3 linked regions of the Arabidopsis thaliana genome follow. The protein of the gene in region 3 interacts with the protein of the main gene of each other region in a pairwise test. Each region holds a gene or a part of one and is shown on either strand. Other genes may lie near its edges.

What was found.
Region 1: the proteins of AT5G01380 (region 3) and AT3G44785 interact in a two-hybrid assay, tested with the Arabidopsis thaliana proteins (one large-scale study listed by BioGRID).
Region 2: the proteins of AT5G01380 (region 3) and AGL79 interact in a two-hybrid assay, tested with the Arabidopsis thaliana proteins (one large-scale study listed by BioGRID).

What each region holds. Positions count from the first base shown.
Region 1 is NC_003074.8:16,327,667-16,330,313, forward strand, and holds AT3G44785 (Zinc finger C-x8-C-x5-C-x3-H type family protein), read right to left. Parts: upstream 783-2,647; coding exon 555-782; downstream 1-554. Other genes in the region: AT3G44790 (TRAF-like family protein), read left to right, coding at 1,126-1,223, 1,329-1,477, 1,591-1,865, 2,147-2,599.
Region 2 is NC_003074.8:11,907,132-11,913,720, reverse strand, and holds AGL79 (AGAMOUS-like 79), read right to left. Parts: upstream 4,852-6,589; 5' UTR 4,603-4,851; coding exon 4,418-4,602; intron 2,709-4,417; coding exon 2,630-2,708; intron 2,523-2,629; coding exon 2,458-2,522; intron 2,358-2,457; coding exon 2,258-2,357; intron 2,081-2,257; coding exon 2,039-2,080; intron 1,473-2,038; coding exon 1,431-1,472; intron 1,232-1,430; coding exon 1,101-1,231; intron 947-1,100; coding exon 841-946; 3' UTR 555-840; downstream 1-554.
Region 3 is NC_003076.8:155,093-159,261, reverse strand, and holds AT5G01380 (Homeodomain-like superfamily protein), read left to right. Parts: upstream 1-1,660; 5' UTR 1,661-1,810; coding exon 1,811-2,146; intron 2,147-2,842; coding exon 2,843-3,478; 3' UTR 3,479-3,652; downstream 3,653-4,169. UniProt on the Arabidopsis thaliana protein: Probable transcription factor that binds specifically to the core DNA sequence 5'-GTTAC-3'.

The DNA of each region.
Region 1 (2,647 bases), on a different chromosome or scaffold from region 3:
GATCTTCGTGACTATAATGCCTGTAAGGGCTCCTATACTTCCGCAATGGCTATGCCTGTTTTTGTATCTTCCATATAACTGCCTCCTCAATCCACTGTCAAGAGAGTCAGGTGGTTTTAGTACAACATAGGAAATCTATATGAACCACACATGACAAAAGAAGAAACATGTGACATGCTAATGCTTTTTACTGTTGAATTTTGGGATGATTTATGTACGAAGCTACTTGTCAACAGTACGAGGAAGATACTTGCAAACAAGTAGCTTCGTACATAAATCATTCCCAAAATTCAATCTCCTGAGGAAGAAAAAGTTACAAACCTCGAAATCTTTTTGCATACATCAACACCAGGAGTGATAATATCGGGACGTTGATTGATGATTTTGCTGCAGATCATGTACAAAGAAAGGCTTTATTTACTTGAACGATTATGCAATGAATGTTTTGAAGGATGTTCTGTTGTCCTCTGTTTTTTTTAGTTGTCGATGTTCTCTTTTCATCAGATTAATTAGGAATCGTTTTTATCACAACTAAGAAATGTAATTTTCTTAAGTTAAAATTTTTTTTTAGGGTCCTTCTCTCGTGATTGTACTGGGTCCAGAAATTGTTTGAGCCGGCCCTGCTGATACGTATTCGAAAGGAGAAGCGTTGGGCTGATACTTGGTTTGGTGTAGAGACGAGAGCATCGATCTCCGTTACGACAAACGCCGATTTTGAAGTAGAAAGGACAATTCACGCGATCTTTCTCCGTTCCGTATATTGACGCTAAGTGCTCGACCATCTTCCGATTGCTTTTTGAAGAACACGAAACTCTTTTCTTCTTCTTGGACTAGGGTAGGTCTCTCTCTGATACTTGCTATGCCTATGGATGTTTCAAGAGATTTAAGTTTATTTACCTTTTTACCCCTTCTGTTTTAACTATTTTCAATCCAACCACAAACTTATGTTAAATTTGGCCAAAATGCGATTGGGCTGAAGCCCATAATCTATATAAGTGAAGAAGACGAGCGCTGCAAGAACGGTTCGACACAACAGTGTCAGTGCTAGTGAACAGTCAGGTTATAGGGTTTCGTTGCTTTGGTCGTCCTTAACTTTAGGCTTTGATAGTTTGGTTGTGAAGTTCAATGGGGTATGAGAAGTTCACTTGGGTGATTAAGAATTTCTCATCTTTGCAATCTAAGTACATTAATTCTGATAAATTCGTTATCGGTGGCTGCAAATGGTAAGAAGAAGACAAGTTTGTTATATCTCTAATTTTGTTTTTTTGGTCCAACTTAGGGTTTATGAGAACATCTTTCCATTTTTTCTATGGTTTTTTTGCTTGCAGGTTTCTTAAGGGATATCAGAATGCTAATTATTTGTCTCTGTTTCTGATGGTTGCTACTTCAAAAACATTGCCTTGTGGATGGAGAAGATACACACGATTTCGCCTAACTGTTGTAAATCAACTTTCCGATGAACTTTCCCAACAACGAGGTGATTTCTATAAGGCTTTTGGACAAAGCAAAGTTCCTATTTTTGTGATTTATATTTCTGTCTGCTTGTGTTTGTTTTGAGTTAGATCAGTTCTATCTTTTCTTTGTCTATAGAAACGGAAACATGGTTTGACCAAAACGTTGTTCTCTCTGGGAATCGACACATGATTTCCCTTACCAAACTTAATGCGAAGAAAGGTGGATTTCTTGTGAACAATGAAGTCAAGATTGTTGTGGAGGTTGATGTTCTTCAAGTTATTGGCAAATTAGATGTTTCAGAGGGATCTCAAGAAGTAACTCAACCTCTGAAAAGGATAAGGCTAAACGATGATGGTGTTTCCGTAAAACAAAGCATTGATGTCAATGGGTTTCAGGTTCTTCCTTCACAGGTAACAAGTTCATAAAGATTCAAACTTTTTAGATGCTTTTCATTAGATAGGAGGAACTGATTTCAGATGCTTTTCAAACTTATAAGTCTTACCAGTTCCTTCTTTGTTGTTGCTGACTTTGGATTAGAGGTGGTCTCTTTTTCTGTTTAGAAATTATCAGTAGAACACTAAGACAATGTAGGGAATAAATGGCATCTTTATAATCTAACCATTCAGTTTGTGGATACGTATACAAACTATACATGAGTTTATACTTTATCCATCTTTTTTTACAATTGTAGGTGGAATCGGTGAAACGTATCTTTGAAAGACACCCAAACATGGCACTAGAGTTCCGAGCAAAGAACCAACATGTGAGGACATCATGTATGAATGTCCTCCTCAGCCTAATCGATACACTGTGCCAGTCACTGCAAGACATTTCCATTGATGACCTGGGCCAGGCAGAGAAAGCACTAAGATACCTGAAAGATTCGGACTTTAAGGTGGATTGGTTAGAGCGTAAATTGGAGGAAGTGAAGGAAAAGAAGATGGAAGAGCAGATTGGTAAGTCTCGGATGCAAGAACTAGAGGAAGAGCTGAAGATCTTCAAGCAGAAGTGCTCTGACATAGAAGCTCAACTGGAGAAAGAGAAGCAAAAGTGCTCAGACATAGAAGCTTTGCTGGAGAAAGAGAAGGCAAAGTCGTTGGCCGCTGCCAGAGCTCCTCCTCTAACGTTGGATGATGTTGTTTGATGACTTAGGCTCCGCTAGGTGTCAAAATTAACGTAGGCAGCTAGAGAG
Region 2 (6,589 bases), on a different chromosome or scaffold from region 3:
TATTTGCTACATGGCCAAAAGAAAAGTTTTTATATATAAAAGAAAAATAAATTAGACAAATGGAAAAACACAAAATGAAATATATCGAAGTTTGATTTATTCAAGACAAACTATAATATATCGATAAATAAAAGATAACAATGGACAAATGGCAACATAAAGGTCTAAATTAAACCAAGACATCGTCTTATGTATATGAAATACTTTAATCTATAGTTTTTAAGTCACACTTTTTCATATGACAAATGTTTCTATCTCCCGGAAAAAATGAAATTCAATGCAGAGAATCAATATTTCTTTCTCCGGCGATGCTAAGGCGTGGAGGAATCGCGTGGCGAGGCAGAGTCGTAAATTGGTTCACACGGCTTAGTGTGAGGACGACTCTTGAATGGCATATTTAATAGTCAAGACTATTTGAAAAAAATATCGTAATTACTTTTAGAAAATTACCAAACATTGTCAAGTATTTTGTTTTAGCAAAATCTGTTTACAAAACGCTTCTAAAATAGATTAAACGTTTTCTCCTACCTTCTATAGAAATTAATATGTCATAAAAAATATAGTTTATAGTTCTTTTCTTCTTTTTCATTACACTGAAATTACATTTTTCACAAACAGTAAAGTGAAAATCGTAGATACAATATACAAAATCACATTAGACATACAATGTTTCTAAATTCGTTCAAAGTTTGAAACTTGAGGGCCTCTTAAGCCTGTTCCTAGAATGCCAAGCCAGAAGATATTTTCTTTTATTCGGATTGGTTCTACTTAACTCAAGAAGTTATTCCGGTACTATATATTAAGTACAGAAAATTAAAAAACCAAGATTGTTTCGGACCTCTATTCTCCGGTGAGCTGGGGCATCCAATGAGGCAACGTTGCATTCGTCCTTCGAATTAGGGTTCCGGCAGCTACTTCTCCAACTCCATCCCTTTGTGATGTATCCCTATAAGCAGTTTATTAATTCATCTCATATACACGATAAATAAATATTGATACAAACTATAATATGTTACCTTACTATCATTGATCAACACTAACAAATTATCATTTATATTTTTACTATCTTTGTAGCTATGTGAAATCAAACTTTAAAGTACCCCGAAGATAAAGGAGGAGGAGGAGGAGATATTGTCCGGCGAAGCTCATGGGGTGATTCAAATGGCGGTGTTGCCAAGGAGGCTAAGTCATGGCTGAGGTTTTGCGTTTGAAAGTCTTCCCTTTCACCAGCCTGCCAAATTCAATACTTGTTATAGTTACTATTTACCAGTCACCGATTGCTTAACATTCAAATATAAATTTAAAATCGACACTTGATTGAGAGAGTTCAAACTAGCGCCTAGACTAATCTCTCTTAAAAGTTAAGTGAATTCTACATTTTATAAGAAACTGGTTATATATATAGTCAAAGATTCTAACATCACTTTCACCTTCTTTGTTAGCTGTTTCTTCAGTTCTTTTAGTTCCTTCTCCTATGCCATCAAAAGAAAAGACACATATTTATTAGTTTAACTCATATCGAGTCAAGTATTCAAGATCTAGTATATGTATTTGTGTTTATTTCTCAAAATCAAAGACTACTAATTGTGAAGATCTACTATAAGTATAATGTTTTGTACAAACCCGAAAAGAAAAAAAAGACAGGCAGATACATGAGTTTGCATGGCAAAAGTAGTCCTAGGCAAAATAACCAAACTCTAACCAAACCGAGAGGAACTTAATAGAAAAACGAACCAAAATTCGTAAATATCCGAATGGATTATAACTTCATAACTGAAAGAACGGGAACCAGACTGAAATATTCAGCGAATCGAAATACATTTTATACACCTAAAATAATTAGTTATTTTTAGACCGAATAACCAAAAATACTCGAAATACCAAAAGTTAGGTGGAAACAATATCCAAAACAATTACTTGAATGGATCCTAAACTCAAAAACCAAAAAATAGAACCAAACTAAAACCGGACCCGTAAACTCAAACGTCCAGGCCTAGGCACAACCATAACAACGATAGTCTCTTAATTAGTGTATTACCTTTTTCTGAAGCTGTGCTATGGACTCTACCATGAGCTGGTTCTGTGCTCCCAAACCAAAACAATAATTACTACATGATTAGGTGTAGTTTATCTATATATCTGTGTATATTTATGCATACACAAACTGCACATTATTAGATATACACATTTGTATATACAAATGATCCATGCATGTATAGAAAATATACTACAATGTTTTTGTATACATATAAATAACCTTTCTAGAGCGAGTTTTCTTGAGGGCAGTATCAAGTTGCATCTCCACACCTTGAAGGTCTCTGATACTTAGACCATCCACCTCTTCTCCTCTTAAGTGCCTTATAATTTGATAAAGATGCAATTTCTTATCTTGTACATATTTAGATATCTTAGGTATGTATTTTATGTTTGGATGATACGTAAGTAATAAGTCCTTACCTCAGGCTTCTTTGCAGGACATCAATCATCCTCAAGAGCTTTGAACATTCTGTTGAGCACTCTCCCTACAAATGATAAAAAGATCGATACACGATAGTTAAGTTTACCATAAACATACCATAAACAATGATTCATATATATATACTCATATGTCTTAAATGTGCTTAAGAACCTGTGAATCCAAATTTGGTGTAGGAATATCTTGACCGGCGTAGGCAGACCTCTCATATCGATCAAGAATTCTCTCCATGCTAAAAAAATAGTATATCAAACAACAATCAACACTCGATGTATATACTATCATCACTCAACAAATACATTGAAGATATTGAATAATCATTTTTGTACTTTAGTTGAAACATTTCTAAATTAATTTAAGCTCTATATCGAGAACTTTAATCTACATTTGCAAACAATTTGATACATTAATTGAATGTATTGATTAGACTATAGCAATCGATACACCAAGTCTACTCAAATTTTGTTAAAATATGTTTGCAAGCAAATTCATTTTTGAACATTCTAGTTAAGCCTACAAGCTAGAAAAGTAGCTTCATGGGTTTGTATATTTTCATGTGACGATCGAGGTTAGTCCTAGGTTCCGCCAACCAAAAGACAAAGCAATGCACAAAGCTCTATACAAAGGCTTGTCATGCTTCCAATTTCCAACAAGATTTTAGCTGTATATCTTAAATTTTTATTTTAACATAATCAAATCAAAGTTTCATGTTTACTATTATTAGTTACTACAATCATGATCGAAAGCTGACTCTTCTATTTATAGTAGATTTCTTGTCCCTCTTTAGTATGTTTGTGTATATTGAGATAATTGTTTTTCTTTTGGTGTGTCGTTCATTTTGATCCAATGATACCGCATTAGATATTACATGAACCTTGGAGATAATTTAGACGGTGTCATCACAAATTATGTCTCCTAGTATTTTACTGTTCTGTTTTGACAATTACTAAAAAAAAAAAAATCGTCATCTTAAAATTGGATTTATTTTTCAAAAATTAAATTGCTATTATTTACAGTTCATTTCTTTTATATTAAATTCTCTGATAAATAATGTTTTGTTATTACCAGAATATGTTCAGTTAGTTAAAACCACCAAAATTATTTTGTATTATAGTCAACATTTTATTTTTATTTTAGTCAACATTCAATTTTATTTTTAAGTAAAATGTAAATAGCAGATTTATTCCAAAAGAAGAACATTAAAATTATTTTGATTCAAGAACCCTTTTTAAAATTCGTTTTCCTTGAATTTATTATATTTTTCCTTGAAATAAATAAAATGAAGTCTCCTATGAGTGCCAAAGTAAGCTAACTTTGAGCATTAGATCTACTTGTTTGATCCTAAGCCTGCAGGTGTTAATTCTAAAGTTTTTTTGTACACTTTGTATTAAATATCTCTTTAAACTTATGTAGATCATGTTTTAATTATCTCCAGAACGTTGAAGAACAAACTTACACAACAATGAAATGAAAGATCTCTCTTTATTCATGATATGTTCAACATATATACATATGTCCTCAAGAATCAAATTATATTAATACGTATATTATTTCGTAATCATGTTTGCCCAATTAGCACATTCTTCCATCATATTTTTTGGATAATATATAATCTGTGGAACTGTTATGTCTCACAATTATTTTTTGATGCGATCATCTCTATTAATCACTTCTTTTGATTTAATATATAGTATTGTACAATCATTCATTTTTTATGATCTTCTCTAAGTTAGAGATGGAAGAACTAAACAAAATTGGCTATAAACTGATTTAATTAATTAAACAATCTCAGCCAATTTCAAATCAATCTCCTCTATGTGAAACCTATATATACCACTTTTCCCAATATGTCAAACATGAAATATAGGCTAATATTTATGTAGATAAATATGCGATCTTAAAATAAGTTGGTAAATTAATTAGCTTAGGAAAGATTCAAACCTGGAACCAGCAGAGTACTCAAAGAGTTTGCCTTTGGGGGAGAAAACAATCAAAGCAACTTCAGCATCACATAACACTGAGATCTCTTGAGCTTTCTTTACCAAACCGGTCCTTCGCTTTGAAAATGTCACTTGTCTCCTTATCTTATTCTCGATCCGCCGTAGCTGAACCCTTCCTCTTCCCATATCTACAAAAATTCTTCTCAGGTTTCTTGGAAACAAAAGAGAGAGCTAAAAGAAGAACTTGGAAATTTGACCACCTAAAGAAGAAAGAAGAAGTAGTAGAAGAAACCCTAGATTCTCTTAAAAAGAAGAAAAGTGGAGTTTGATGAGAAATTACGCGAAGATTTGATTTAATTTTCTATTTTTGTGAACTTATTCATATACATATATTTATACACACAAAAGGCATATGGAGGGAAAAAGAGAAAGTATCAAATGATACATTTAGGGAAAGGGAGAGCAGAAAACAAGTATTTATGTCTTTGTGTCCGAAATAGTCTTGACGATCAATTATTATTATTGGTGAATGAAGTTAATAATTAACCCAAGTTGCTGGTTTGGCTCCTGCGATTTCAATATAGAACCTGTAATTACCAAGATCAAAGTTCTATTAACAAATGCTGCTGTGATACGATTGGTTCTTTTGACCATATATGATATAAAATATAAGAATGGATAAGAAGATACATATAGTAAAATAATAATAAAGAGCTTGACCTATTACAATGTAAACCACCACAAAGAGCTTGACCTATTACAATGTTATTTTTGTACTTTCATAACAAATATGTACTTACTAAATAGATTGAAAATAAAAATATATTGTATATATATATATATATATATATATATATATATATATATATATATATATATATATATATATATATTCATCATCGATTACGAAAACTTCACCAGAGATTTTACCATGTTGCATCTTATGATCATGGTTTATGTGTACGGTTAAATTTTACATTGTGGATGTGGTTCAGGTGGAGCTGTCTTGTAGATCAATGGACTACCAACTTGGAGAGTTGTTTTAAATGAGATTTTAATACTTTTTAAAGTGTTTCTATAAAATAATTAGTGCTTGCTTTTTATTATTATTATATATATTACTATTAGTATTATATATTATTATTATATTTATATTCTGTTACAAGCGAACCATAGTTAACAATTTTCAACATACTGATCCACAATTGACAGTTTTACCTGAACTATATCTACAATGGCTGAGTTTAGTCATTGGTCTTAATACATATACGGAGATACATGAATGTGATATATCATTCTTGAAATGTCTAACAGAAGCACCGATGAAGTTGGTCCCTATTCTTAACGTATGGTTATTGCAATAAGTATATGTATGGTTATATGAGGGATTATGTACTAACAAAAATCGACAGAACTTTAAGTGCATTCTACGTTTCTCTTCCATCCTAAAATTTGAACCTCAAAATTGATACAATAATTTAAACCAGAATTTTGATCCACCACTATAGATTTTTATAATAAATATATTTTCTCTTTTTGAAAATTACACTTAATATTTTCTTAGCTCAATATATAATTTTTTAAAAAAAAATCATTATATAAAGAACAGTCAACTTGGTTGACTTTGGAAATAAACAATAAAAGACAATTTCCGTGGTCATTTTTCGTATATGTTTTTTGTGGTATGATTTTGGCAGAAAATAGAAATATAGATGAAGATGAGTTTAGGATTTTGAAAATGAGGACACCTTGTTTAGAATGTAGGTTAAATAGAATTGAAGAAGGGTTTAAACATTAAATATCACGGAATAGATTGGTTAATGGTAAACTGAGAAAAAAATAGGTATTTTAAAATTGAGGAAACCAAATATGTTATAGTAGAGATTTCATAATAATTATCTTTTTAACATTTTCACATCGACAAGGTCCAATGCATAGTCAATCTTTACTCTGCAGGATAACGCGACTTAGTAGAGTCTAACTCCAGTGGAGAAGGTGGAGTAAAATGGACTTAACAACGTAGTGAAATTTCTTAATAATTCTTGAACAGGACATTAAGTAGATATTGTTTTCTTATTTATTTTATATGCATTTCAAGTATATACAAATTTCATTAAAAATCTCTAGAAGAATGAGAGAAATAAGTCTAAAAAGTTTGTGTAGCTTGGATAAC
Region 3 (4,169 bases):
CTTTCTTTTGTTCACAGAAAATTCCTTCATTCACAATTTCTCTTTTAAATAATTAAAGACCACAAATTTTGAACATAAGAATTAGAAAAATTAAAGATCATTCACTAGAGTAGTCGACATTATTATTAATTTAGTATAAATAAATAAGGTGTGAATCCACGTGGGATGACAGGTGGGAGCGAAGTCTAGTGCATGTCATGTAAGATTTTGATTTACTTTCAACACGCTTCATCGCTATTTGGACCACTTCGCTGACTTTTTTTTGTTTTTTTTTTTACTACTGAGTAGTACTAGTATTTCTTACACATATCAGAGCCAAAAATACAACCCCGACGAATCTTTCTTTAGATACAAATAAAAAATATTTACTCCTACAAGTTTCATTCACCGTACGTTTTACTTGTTATATCATTGCAATGACGCGGCTTCTAAATATGTACTACCATATGTGTGTTTGGGAATCTGACAGTTGTATATTGCACTGGATCCAAACCATTTCAGAACAAGAGTACATTTTCTCTGTTCGTACGCATTATTTGTTTTGTGCCGACTGCGAATATAACGATTTCCATTTATTCATATACTAAATATCATACAATCCATAAATGAATAGTCTTCTTTTTTTCTTGGGGGAATTTACAATTCCAATCAAATTAATTTCTTAGCTAATCATAACGGTAGTCTTGTTTTCTGTAACTTAATTCTTCTTCTTTTTTATTTTGATAGGAACGTTAGGTATCTATTATGTAAAACTTGCTAACAACAATTCTCTAATTCTTTGTTTATATCTGATCTCTTCCTCCATGACACGGGGCTAATCTAAACTTCTAAAAGCATATTGATCCAATAGCTTATTTAATATATTTTGTCTGTCAACCATTAGGTTACTTTTGTTACGATGAATTTTTCAAAAGAAAAATACAAGAATTATGGGATGAGGAAAATCTAGTGGGTCAATTGACCATAAAGGCTAAATCGGATTGAAGAATAAAAATCGGATTGTGACTCGTAACTCGTAAGCGTGACGAAATATTAACGCAACATTTATATGTATTGGGACAAATTATTAACGAATAACTACCAAATGCAAAAAATACGAGACAGTTGAGTACTTGAGCTTGGTCACAAAATCATCATCAAGGAAAAACAATAACCATACAGTAAAAATATAGTTCTACAACTTTACAAATTTGAAAGCGTGTTTAGAATGATGCACACAAATAATCAATCTGTCAAAAAAAAACATATTGTTTGATTTTACTCTAAGATTAAGGCGATTGTTTTTACTTAAGATATTCTTAACTGATGCAAGTTACCCCTGTAATTGTTTGAGATTGCTATTTTTAAACTCTAGAATACGAAGAAAAAAAAAGTATGAATTATTTAGTTAGCTGCTTTAAATCTAGAGTTTATCATCCGAAAAAGGGATATCTAAGCTTTATTATTTTTAATGTAATCACGAATTGTGTCCTTTTCACCAAAAGAGTCATTCGTGTTCGTATTTTATTCAACTAAATAATTCTATAAGTTCTAGTATATTCAATAATTATTAAAAAATCTCATCTTAATAATTTTAATTAGAGAAAAGAACAAAAAACTACACTTCTATCGTCCCTCTACGATTTCACACCTTCTTTTCACACATCCTTATAAATTAATTAGATTCTTCTCTTTTCTCTCCTTCCTCTCTGTCTTCTCTTCTTTTTTTCAATGAAACCTCTCTTCATTTATAAGTAACCCAACAAAAAAATAAAATTATCTCCCTCTTATTTCTTCTCTTCACGTCACAAAGACAATTCGATTCCAAATAATGGACCGACGTAACCCTTTCCAACATCACCACCACCACCATCAGCTTCATCATCACTTGATCCAACAGCAACAGCTTCCTCCGCCGCCGCTGAGCACCACGGCGACGATGGATCCCGGCGGAGGAGGAGGAGGTGGGGAGAGAATCCCACAGTGGAGCATAGAGGAGACAAAGGAGCTTTTGGCTATAAGAGAAGAACTTGATCAAACTTTCATGGAGACCAAACGTAATAAGCTTCTTTGGGAAGTCGTGGCTGCTAAGATGGCCGACAAGGGTTTTGTCCGAAGCGCAGAACAATGTAAGAGCAAGTGGAAGAACCTCGTCACTAGATACAAGGTTACCCTTCAACTCTTTAGAATCCTATTGATGATTCTCTCTATATATAGTCCCGATATATACACCTATAAATGTTTAGTATGATCATGATTACAAGTATATACAAACTATAATTATGTGTATCATGTATTTCATCACTAGTTTGTGTGGTTAGACTGATATTATGCATATTGAAATGGAAACCTAGTTTATGGTGTATGTATAGGTGAACTACATTATATATACATCAATTAATGAGCTTAACCTAATCGCCTAGGTTTTTTAGATATTGTCCTGTCATTAATGGTAACGAGCTATAGAATAGAATTTTACGCGTTTATTGGTGAGCTTTCATCATGATATTGTCTATGTTCACATTTTGATCCGTTATACCATAATATCTCTCTTTTTGTTCGTTGATCACATGGTAAGTAAGTAACACAATATGCCATAAAAATATAATTACCGTTATATAACGGGTGCATAAGATTTAATAAGAACCGTTACTGATGAACACATGAAGATAGTTGAAAAAGTCTATACACACATTTATTTAAGGTAAAAGAAACGTGATATAGATGATGAACATGTGTTTTTGTTTTCCTATGATATATGATTTCGAGTTAAGATACTTGGTTAGCTAAAATATTTTGCGTCGGTACTATTACGTGTTTACATATAATTGTTTATATAACATAATGAATATTCATGGGACAGGCGTGTGAGACCACTGAGCCAGATGCTATTAGGCAGCAGTTCCCATTCTACAATGAGATTCAGTCGATTTTTGAAGCAAGAATGCAAAGAATGCTGTGGTCAGAAGCCACAGAACCAAGCACTTCCTCGAAGAGAAAACATCATCAATTTTCATCTGATGATGAAGAAGAAGAAGTTGACGAACCAAATCAAGATATCAACGAGGAATTATTGTCTTTAGTAGAGACACAGAAAAGAGAGACAGAAGTGATTACTACTAGTACTTCGACCAATCCAAGAAAACGTGCAAAAAAAGGAAAAGGCGTTGCGAGTGGTACGAAAGCTGAAACTGCGGGTAATACACTAAAAGATATATTGGAGGAGTTTATGAGGCAAACGGTGAAGATGGAAAAGGAATGGAGAGATGCATGGGAGATGAAGGAGATAGAGAGGGAGAAGAGAGAGAAAGAGTGGCGGAGGAGAATGGCGGAGCTAGAGGAGGAAAGAGCCGCCACAGAAAGGAGGTGGATGGAGAGAGAGGAAGAGAGACGGTTGAGAGAAGAAGCTAGGGCTCAGAAGAGAGATTCTCTCATCGATGCTTTGCTTAATAGGCTTAATAGAGATCATAATGATGATCATCATAATCAAGGTTTCTAAGTTCTCATTATTTGTGTTAAGCATAAGTTAATTAGCTAGTTAATTTGTTAGGCAAATCAATTTAGATAATATATCTAAATTAATGTTTGTTTTATAATATTTATATGAACTATTGAAATTTCCAAAAAGAAAGATAAATGTTCAAATTTTGATATATGTTATCGTGGTATGAAAATGAATTTATCCTTCTAAAAACAAAAAAAATCCTGGTGGAGAAAAATAAACCTTCAATATTAGAGGAAGAAAAATAAATAGAGAGGGAGTAAAACGAGCAGGCAATTACTAAATATAATATAAGGTAACATGTGAATTAACTAAACGATAAGAATAAGAATTAATAAATCATTTAATAGTTTACGTACATGCATAAAACAATTGTATAGATATTAATTAGATATGCTAGTTTGAATTATATTGTTCATAGTTATAGGTGTCCAAAACCAAATTGGTTGAATACTTTTAGCTACTTTATTCTGTTAATAAGAATATTTCATAACGATTAATCAGGCGATAAACAAGAATTAAACAAAAGTCTTTATTCCAAAACTTTCAATTCACATTTGTCCCACATTACTTCACCGCGTTATTTGTGTGATATATAAAACTTATTTTGTTCATAAGTAAATTGTAAAGAAAGAATTTGTTATTTTTATTCTTTTCTTCTCTTGCAAGACAGCTACCAACAGATAAA